2 linked regions of the Sus scrofa genome follow. The protein of the gene in region 2 purifies or fractionates together with the protein of the main gene of each other region. This does not show direct contact. Links are inferred from orthologs where the notes say so. Each region holds a gene or a part of one and is shown on either strand. Other genes may lie near its edges.

Region 1 (4,556 bases), on a different chromosome or scaffold from region 2:
AGAAATCTCCCATACATACTGAGGGTCTGCTGCTATCATTGTATTTTTTTTTTTGTTTTTTTCTTTTTGGCTGCCCCATGGCTTACGGAGATCCCAGGCCAGGGGTCAGATCACAGCTGCAGTCATGACCTAAGCCACAGCTTAGTATCCCAAGCTCTACTAAAACACCGCCAATCCCTTTGCGCCACAGCGGGAACTCCTATCATTGTATTCTTTTAAGTAGAAATTGTTTTAGGAGAGAGTAGATTGGCAACCAGGACCCCTCTCAGCTTTTCTCAATTCACTTCGCAAGAACATAGGTGATTGTACGCTGCTCTTTCACTTTTGTTACCTAGGGAGAAATCACCTGGATTCTTTCTACCTTTCAGAGGCTGTGAAGACAGATGAGATCCTAGGCAGGAAGTTTAGAAAGCTGATATAAAACTGCAAAAGGAAGCTTCCTGAGAGAGATTCCAGAGGTAACATTTTGAGTCAACCATCCTTATAATTACAATAATGTTTTTAAAGTATTTCTCGGGGAGTTCCCATCGTGGCTTAGTGGTTAATGAATCTGACTAGGAACCATGAGGTTGTGGGTTCCATCCCTGACCTTGCTCATTGGGTTAAGGATCCGGTGTTGCTATGAGCTGTGGTGTAGGTTGCAGACGTGGCTCTGGCGTAGGCAGGCGGCTACAGCTCTGATTAGACCCCTAGCCTGGGAACCTTCATAAGCCGCACGTGCAGCCCTAGAAAAAGACAAAAAAAAAAAAGTTTTTCTTGGAGTTCCCATTGTGGCAAAGCAGAAATGAGTCCGACTAGTATCCTTGAGGATGCAGGTTCAATCTCCAGCCTCAACTGGTCTGGGATCCAGTGTAGCCATGAGTTGTGGTAGGTAGGTCGCAGACGCAGCTCGGATCCTGAGTTGCTATGGCTGTGGTGGTGGCTGGCAGCTGTAGCTCTGATTAGACCCCAAGCCTGGGAATCTCCACAGGCTGCAGGTGCAGCCTTAAAAAAATAAAACTAAAAAATCAAGGTTTTTTTTTTAGTTGTAAATACCACATAACAAAATTTACCACCTTAGTAACCATATGAGAAATTTTTAAATGGTCTTTGCATTTGATGTTTCACCCAAAATCTTCCGAAGGCTGTCTCCTTCTCATAGTTCAATTCTTCAAGGAAGTGATAATTCTGAAGGCCTGCATTTTGTAAAAAGTCTCCAATTCCTGTGGTTGAACTTTTGGTAGAAGTTCTCCACTGCCATAAACAGTCACACACAGAGCAGATTATGGCCACAGTTATGCTACTCTAAGTGCAAAGAAGAAAATGCAACTACTCAACTGTTTGGAATCTTGTATAGCTGTCTCAGTTTTTCCCCTTTTTTAACAGCTTTATTGAGGTATAATCTCCTCTCGTTTTTAAAGTGCGCTCCTTTAAGATGATCTCATTCTGTAGAATGAGAACCTTTGAATCTCCAGTACTACAGGCACCTGTAAGGATTCCCTTTCCTTCTTTTTCTTTTCTCCCTTACACTAGGCAGCCGAACACGTGTAACCACCGCCTAGAGAACTTGTTCAGCCTCCCTACCTAGCCCTGCCCACTCAAAGTCCAGCCCCTTCTTTTTTCGGAGGCCAGTCCCTCGGCCGCTTTCCAATTCAGGCCCAACAAATCTCGCCCTTCCTCCAACCCCCTCTCAACATCTCGCGAGAAGTGCGCGCGCCTGGCCGGACGAGAGGAAAGTATCTGCTCCGCTGAGGGGGGGGAAGAAGGAGCTGGAGGTAGATTGTGAGACGAAGCGCAGGCGGGCAGGAGGCGACGGAGCTACCAACGGGTAAGTCCTGTTAACATTAACTAGTCCATGAGCTGACGGGACTCTCCCCCTCAACTCTGGCCTGTCCCAGTGTCCCAGGCCGGGATCTCCCCTCCCAGTGTGTGTTGGACGGGGGCGCTGAGGCGGTGGCCGGGCCCTGTCTGAGGAAGAGGGTGGGGCGTGGGCTAAGGCCGACCAATAAAAGAGAAGGAGGCTACGATTGGCGGCGATGAGCACTAATAGGAGATCGTCTTTACCTTGCGGAGTGCCGCCCCCTTCTCTCTTTCCTCCCGCCTCCTTCCTTTGGGGGGGGAAGGCGGGGCCAGAGGCCTGAAGTGTGGGGAGAACTTGGGGTAAGTAGCCCCGGGGGGCGCAGGGCGTGGCAATGAGAGGGGAGTTGAATCCTGAGGGAATGGAAGTCTAGTGGAGGCTGGAATGGGGTGGAATGGGAGGAAGGGGTGGGGTACTAAATTGGTTGAAGACCCAGGGTTTCTTCCAAGAGTGGGGTTAGAGGCTTGGCATTGGAAGCGGCAAGGGTAATAGGCAGGAGGTAGGGATGAGTAGGTGAAAACATGGTACTTGGTTTGGCTGGAAAGATAGAGGTAAATCATTGGAAGTGAGAGCACGGCATTTCGACTGAATTATAAAAAAGAGTATTAGGGACATGATAGCAGGAAAAAAGTGGATATGGAGAAAATTAAGTGAGTGAGTTTGGGAAGACTTAATAGTGGTGTGTTAATGGCCAAAAGGCATCACTTTAGAGAGGGTATGGGGGAATCCAGAGAAGTAAGGGAGGTGTTTGGTTAGGAGACGGCTGATATATACAAGCGTTTAGCCTAGGTATCAGAAGAAGCCTGGGAAATAGATGTAGGACTTTTGGTGGATATTGCACCCAGTCTCGTGACCAGCCTGCAAGAGAGGTGGGATAGGGGTAGAGAAGGAGAAAAATAGAGCACTTTCATCACTTCTACTCTGATTTCCTTTCTCCCCCTCTTCCTCTTCCCGCACTTCATCTCTTCAACTCAGGGATGGGGGCTTGAGACTTAAGCAGCCAAGTTGGAGCCCCATAGGGAGTTATATGTTGCTCTCAATTGCTTGTTATGTTCTCCGACTGGGGTGTTTACTACCCAGGGCACCTCCTACCCAGATTCCCGCGTTGCTGCTTTACTAACTTTAAAAGTTTGTTTTCTCCTTAACAGAGGGTGTTTTAATATCTCTGAGGGTTGTGTCATAGTAAGTGTAGGTTTGTGGGGGTATGCAGAGCTTTCTCTGAAAGCTCGCTTGAGCCCTGTGTTTAAAAACTTTGCAGTAATGCAAGTTATTCTTGTAGAGACATCGGTCTTTATAGGTATTCTAAGCACAACAAAATATCCTAAATTGAAATTTGTTTTGTCAAATATGTTTCTTACCCACTGATATTCTGGAAGAGTTGCTAAATGGTCGCAGTTTTATTTAGCTTATATATTTTTTAATGGTGTAAATAAAATGCACACATATTTCAGGAAAGTGAAAAAATTTCAGCTTCTTCCTTTGTGTCCAGACTCAGAAGCTAAAGATATGTCATAATATCTTAGGGCAAGGGTTGGGGAAATCAAACACAATTTGTACTTAAACATGGAGGATATAAGGTAAGTGGAGATGATTGCGAAATTTAACATGTCCGTAAGAAAAGAAGCTAAAGGAAAGTTTGGCAGCTATACTAAGTAGTCTTACCAGTTCTTAATTCTATACAGAAAAGGGGCAAGTCTTTGCCCTTTGTTTGATAGTTACATATTATTTAATAATGAACTAATACAGCCAATTAATTAATAATGCCTTTGCTGTTACATAGATTTGTCTTTTACATTTCTTTTCTTCTCCTTTTACTTTTGGAAGCAAAATAACATCTGAAATACCCAAAAAGCTGTTATATGAAGAGAAATCTCAGAGTATGTTGCTTTGTATCATTCACCTTGGGTTTTCAGCAACTATTTGTTCTCCTGGCTAGGAAGTTACCTCTGCAGCACTTTGAAACCAATTAGTTACTGACTTTTTAAGATTAATTACTTAATTGGCTTCCAGAATTTCACATTCAGAGCATTGCTGTTGGACATACAGACATTTTCACAGTTTGCCTGGCAGCAGCTTGCGCATGCACACACCTCCCACCCCCCCAATTCAAGGAGAGAGCCAAGTTCCTTGTTTTATTCTTCCATCCTACAGTTTGTGATGGCTTTGACTTGGGTACTATTAAATGCAACATTATTTTTTTTCTTATTAACATCTACCAAAAAAGTAGAGAATTATAGCAGTTCTCATCTTGAAATTTGTGGATTAAAGATTACATCCTGTGATGTTGTAGTGTTGTAACTTTTGTTTTTGTTTACCATGGCTTTTAAATGCTAATATTTACCGTTACTGTATGTCTTCTTTCTCTTTCCTCTCCCCATTTCCAAACCAAAATGAAAATTGTTTTTTCAACCAGCTCACAAGCTGCTGCTTTAAGTCCCTAGCTCTGCCTGAACACAGCTGCTCTAAAGTTCTCTCAAGTTATTGTTTTGTACATGTCAAGACTGAGCTTTTCCTCGGCTGCAGTAGGAGGGAGTCAGTGTTAGAGCAGCCTCCTATCCACGTCTGATGAGGAGGAGCCTTTTTGAAAGGAAGTTTTAGGTGGAGCAAATAGCTTTGCCATGTAAATGTCTAATAAAGACCGCTCTCTCCTTGAAACTAATTGGCAGACCTGCACATAATTGTCCCTTATCCCTTGATAAAGGTACTGAAGTTAAGGGGC
Region 2 (4,547 bases):
GTCTGTCTCTTGGAAAAGGATGCTTGTGGAATTAGAGAGCTAGTCTGGTATTCCTTGATTCCAAAAAGGAACTGTCCCCTTTGATTTATTTTCACAAGTTATCCAAGGAACAGACAAATGGCAGCCTTGGAAAAGTTTTGGGTCTTGTTTTTGTTTTGTTTTTTCATTAAAAAGGGAGCCCAGCTGATGAAAACAAGTTATGAAATGACCTATGTTTGTGTAACTGGCTGGATTGCGTAATGCTCAGGGCCTGAAACCGTAAGAGTCGAGCAGCCAGGCAGGGCATATATCTGGGAGGTGTTTTCCTAAGAAAGTTAGGAGAGAGAAAAAACAACAACAGCAATAAAAAGAAAAAGCCAGGAGGGGAAGGTATGTGCAACTATTAGTGACAAATCAGAATCACCCATGACCAACCTTTGAGATTAAAACTATAAGTGGAACAGGAAATATTTTTCATGCTTCAAGTTCCTGCCATATACAAGAACAGAGGTTTTTAACAAAGAGTTATCTGCACCCCCTTCCCCCCAAGTCCCTGGGACTCCTGGCCATGTGTTAAGATCAAACTTTACCAAGTGAGAGAGGAGAAGAAAGCCCTGTGTGGGGTGGACAGCAACAAACTGCTCAGGAATATTAGACCCCACCAACAAAGCAAGCTGGAAAAAATAATATTCACTCGCCCAAGGTAAAACCAGAGACCCCTCTTACATGGTTTGGTCCACTGAGACGCCACTGGAGGAGGAGGGCCCATCCCTAACTGCCAGGAAAAGTCTCCCTCTCCCCGTAAAGGAAGCTAAGAGAAATAAAGTGATTACAGGTTTTATCTGGTATGTAATAAAGTTACCTTGAGCCTGGGTGGGGTCGTAGCCCAGACTTGTGAAGTAACAAAAACCTCTCACGTCAGTCCTTAGGACCACAGAACAGCTCTGCTCCAAGTCAGAGAGATGATGGGAAAACCCTCCCCTCTTCCCACCCACCCCCCAAGAGTGGACAGGCCAAGAAACTCATCCAAAGCTGAGTTACCTTGCCAATCCCTCCGGTTTGAAAGGTGCCTCACTCAAGCTGCTGGGCCGAATGGGCAAGCATATATGCAAGAACCCCGTGCAGCAGTTATTACTAATTGCAAAATCCTCATGTGTTGCAGCATGCTAGGAATTAGCCAACAGCTGCTTTTTGCTTTGGTAATGAGGCCCCATTACACTCTGCTGGACTGAGTTCTCTTCCTTCTTCCTAGCACTGGTTTCCTGTCTGATTTTCTTCCAAAACAGGGAATTGCCTCCGCTTGCATCCTGGGCTCAAAGCCCTAGTGACACAGATTATTCAATCGGGGCACTGATGTCCGGTCGGACTTCCCATCCAGGCCCCAGGGTCTGAGCAAAGCCAGGCGGCGACGTTGTAACATTTCAGTGATGACTGCCATAGAAACAGCAGCCAAAAGAGCAGATGAGACATCAGAAGATTCCCTTCCCATCGGAGAACGGAGATGGGGGGGGGGGGTGCTGTGGAAATGGAGACTGAGGGAATGGGTATAAATGACTCCCACCCGCTGCTTAATGATATCTGGATTCAATACAAACCACCAATGGGGCTGGAGAGCAAACAAAAATCAAACACTTTGGGACAAGACTTGAAATGCATCACCTTAGTGCTCAGTATTAGGGGTGCTCTGACCGTACCCTCAATGCACCAACCAGGTTCTCTACAGTGGGGTGCTAAAGGGGACACCGGGGCAGGTAAAAAGAAGACACAGAAAAGCCATTTTAAGGACTCACCAGGTATGGGGAACCACTTTGGAATAAGAGACCCCTCTTCAGATACCAAAGAGAGCCCCCTTTCCATTTTATTCTCCCTCAGGGTCCCTCCTCCCCAGAAGTCCACCCCAGGCCCTCCTGGTTGGCTGGCTTATAGAAGCCAAAGCCATCATCATCTTACCAGCGCAACTCGAGACAGCCAACTTGCCTAGAGACTCTGCAGATCCTGACCGAGGCGGGCTTCAGGTTCCAGCAACCTTGTTGGTTAAGCCAGCTCCCTCCCAAGAGTGGGGGTCGGGGGGTGGGGGGGAGTGGTGGCTGCAGAGGGCAGGCACCCCACGAACACCACCAACCCAGCAGCACCTTTCTGGTATTTATTCCGGTATTTATAGACACACAGATCTCAGGCAAAATCCCTCTGGTGCAAACCAGTCCGCCTGCTTTAGAAACAAGTTGTTTTCCGGCTTCCAGAACCACCCAGGAGCCTAAGCGAGGTCTCATCCACCGCCCCCACCGCCCCCCCACCGTCCCCTCTCTGCAGGCGTCCTGGCCCCAGATATTCCCAGACCCCCAAGGCGCCCCTTCTGGTCGGCTGTGCAGGCTCCTTCTGTGACCCTAACAGGAGATGGATGGGCGCGGGGGAGAAAGGCGCAGCCTGAGCCAATCAAGGCTGACCTCCTCCTTCCTGACCTTCGCACCTGATTCCCAGAGCGACAACCCTCGCCCTCGCTCCGGATTACTTGAAGGAGCCCATTTTTCCCAGTCCCCAAGTTCTTTCAGAAATGAACGAAGACCGAAGGAGAGAGGGCTTTTTCGCAGGAATAAGGTCCCTGGATGTCGGGAGGTGCCCGTGGGTGCAAAGATTTTTTTTGGAGGGGGGTCTAACCACGGGGTTCCTGCGAGAGAGGTACAGGGTCCTGGGGAAAAGGCCCTGCAATTCCAGGAGCTTGTCTGTATAGGATGTAGTGTGAAGGCGAGGGTTTGTTGGCTCTCCAGCCCACTCGCCGCTCTAGTTTAAAAAAAAAAAAAAAAAAAAAAAGTGTTGGCGGGGGATGGGGGAAGGTTAAAGGAGGTGTCAGGAGGACAAGATGAAAATCTAGAACTTACAATGGAGGCCGCAAGAATTTTCTCGCCAAATCAAGAAAGGGAAAAGAAAGGGGGGGAAAAAAGGCAGTCCTGGCGAGAGGAAGGCGGGGGGTCCACCCGCGGCGCCAGGTGCACCCGGGGCCCGCACCTACCTGCTGGCCGCCGCCGCCGCTGGAGTAGGACTCGGCGTGCGCAGGAGAGCCGCTGCTGCCCCGGGACGAGGTGTCAAAGTTCCCGGGATAATCCTGGTACATGATCCGCGGTGGGGGCCCGAGAGGAAACAGGGTGTTTTTCTTCCCCCGCCCTCGCCGCGGCCGCGCACCGGCAGCTGCGCGCTGGCTCCCTGCCGGCCGCGCCTGGGGCTCTAAGCGTCGCTCCCGGGCTTCTCCCCCTCGGCGGCGGCACTCCGAGAACAGTGCCCCCCGAGCGCCGAGCGCTGCACTTCTTTCCTGCTCTACGAGCGCCGCGGGACCAGTTGTCCACCCGGTCCCTCCCTCTAAAAAGTCCGCGCGTCCCTCGGTCCCTCCCCTGCGCGCGCCCTCCTGCCCCCGCGCGCAATCAGAGCCCAGCCGGGACCGCCGGCTCAATCAAAAATTGGAAATTAAAAAAAGAATAGGAGCCCGGCGAGTCAAGCCTGCCAGGTCTGGGGGCCCCCAATTTCAGACAGGGCAAAAAAGGAAGAAAAAAAAAAAAAGGCGAAAAGAAAGGCTGCCCGCTTGGAGAAACTTCTATTTCCTCCTTTTAGAAAAGGAGCTGAGAATAAACTTCCTGTGGCCGACTCGCCGCCGGAGTTTCGAGCGGCAGGGACACTTGATTAGGTGAAGGCAGCCCGCCCCGCGGCCCGTGGGGTTCCAGCTGAGCTGACGCGGAGAGGGACGCGGGCCCGCTCCCCTTGCGGCGGCTCCGGCGCCCGGACCTGCACCCCTTCCCCGGCGCCCGCTCCCGGACGGGCCCGCCTCGCCCGTCCGCGCCTCTCTCTCTCCCTCTCTCTGTCCCCGCCGAGCGCCGCTTGCTTGCTCGCTGGTTCGCTCGGAGCCCCAGCGCTCTGCCCGAGATGAGTCACTACAATGGCACGAGTTCAACTCCACTCTTTATTCTCCAGCCCCTGTACCTCACGTCAACCCAAGACTCCACCTTGCGGGAGGAGCGCTAGGGGAGGCGGAGGGAGAGGGCCGAGGAGGAGGAGGGGGAAGAGGAGGAAGAGGCGCGGGAGGAGGCGGGCGCAGCACTCCCCTCCCTGCCCGGGCTCCCGGCCGCGCTGACGCCAGCCGCACACCCTGCGCGAGGAAGGAAGGAGGTGGAGGGGGTGGGAGCGCTGTGAGCGCGGTTTGGGGGACCCGAGGCAGCCCGGCCCTTCCCCACCCCCGCCCACCCCCCTGGGCCCTGCGCCCTTGGTCTGTTCCACCGGCGCCTGTTGCCAAAGATGGTCATTTGCGTTAGAGGACGCGCGTGCGGGTTCCCTCGCTTTCGGGTGACGTGGAGGGAGAGGGATTCCCTCGCCGGCTCCAGAGCGCGCCACGGCCTCCCTACTTCTCCACCGCCCTGGGAAGGGGCGCGGGGCGGGGCCCCCGAGAGCGGCCACGCGGGCCCCTGCGCAGGGTTTTAGAAAATAATCACAGTCCTGAAGAGCGAGACGGGCGGTTCAGCGCGGCGCCACCGCGAGGCCGGGAGCCGGGCGCGCAGAGCCGCTCGCAGGGAGGGTGCGGCCGCGCG

What was found.
Region 1: the proteins of FOSL2 (region 2) and ATF7 purify together in Homo sapiens (affinity purification with mass spectrometry; 3 studies listed by BioGRID and IntAct, counting the BioPlex papers as one, with this or other methods). This does not show direct contact. The link is inferred for Sus scrofa from reciprocal best matches to the Homo sapiens genes FOSL2 and ATF7.

The regions. Positions count from the first base shown.
Region 1 is NC_010447.5:18,835,695-18,840,250, reverse strand, and holds the start of ATF7 (cyclic AMP-dependent transcription factor ATF-7), read left to right. Parts: upstream 1-1,657; 5' UTR 1,658-1,807; intron 1,808-1,827; exon of another isoform or gene 1,828-2,139; intron 2,140-4,556. UniProt on the Homo sapiens protein: Stress-responsive chromatin regulator that plays a role in various biological processes including innate immunological memory, adipocyte differentiation or telomerase regulation.
Region 2 is NC_010445.4:110,839,763-110,844,309, forward strand, and holds the start of FOSL2 (fos-related antigen 2), read right to left. Parts: upstream 2,955-4,547; 5' UTR 1,930-2,954; intron 1,904-1,929; exon of another isoform or gene 1,021-1,903; intron 1-1,020.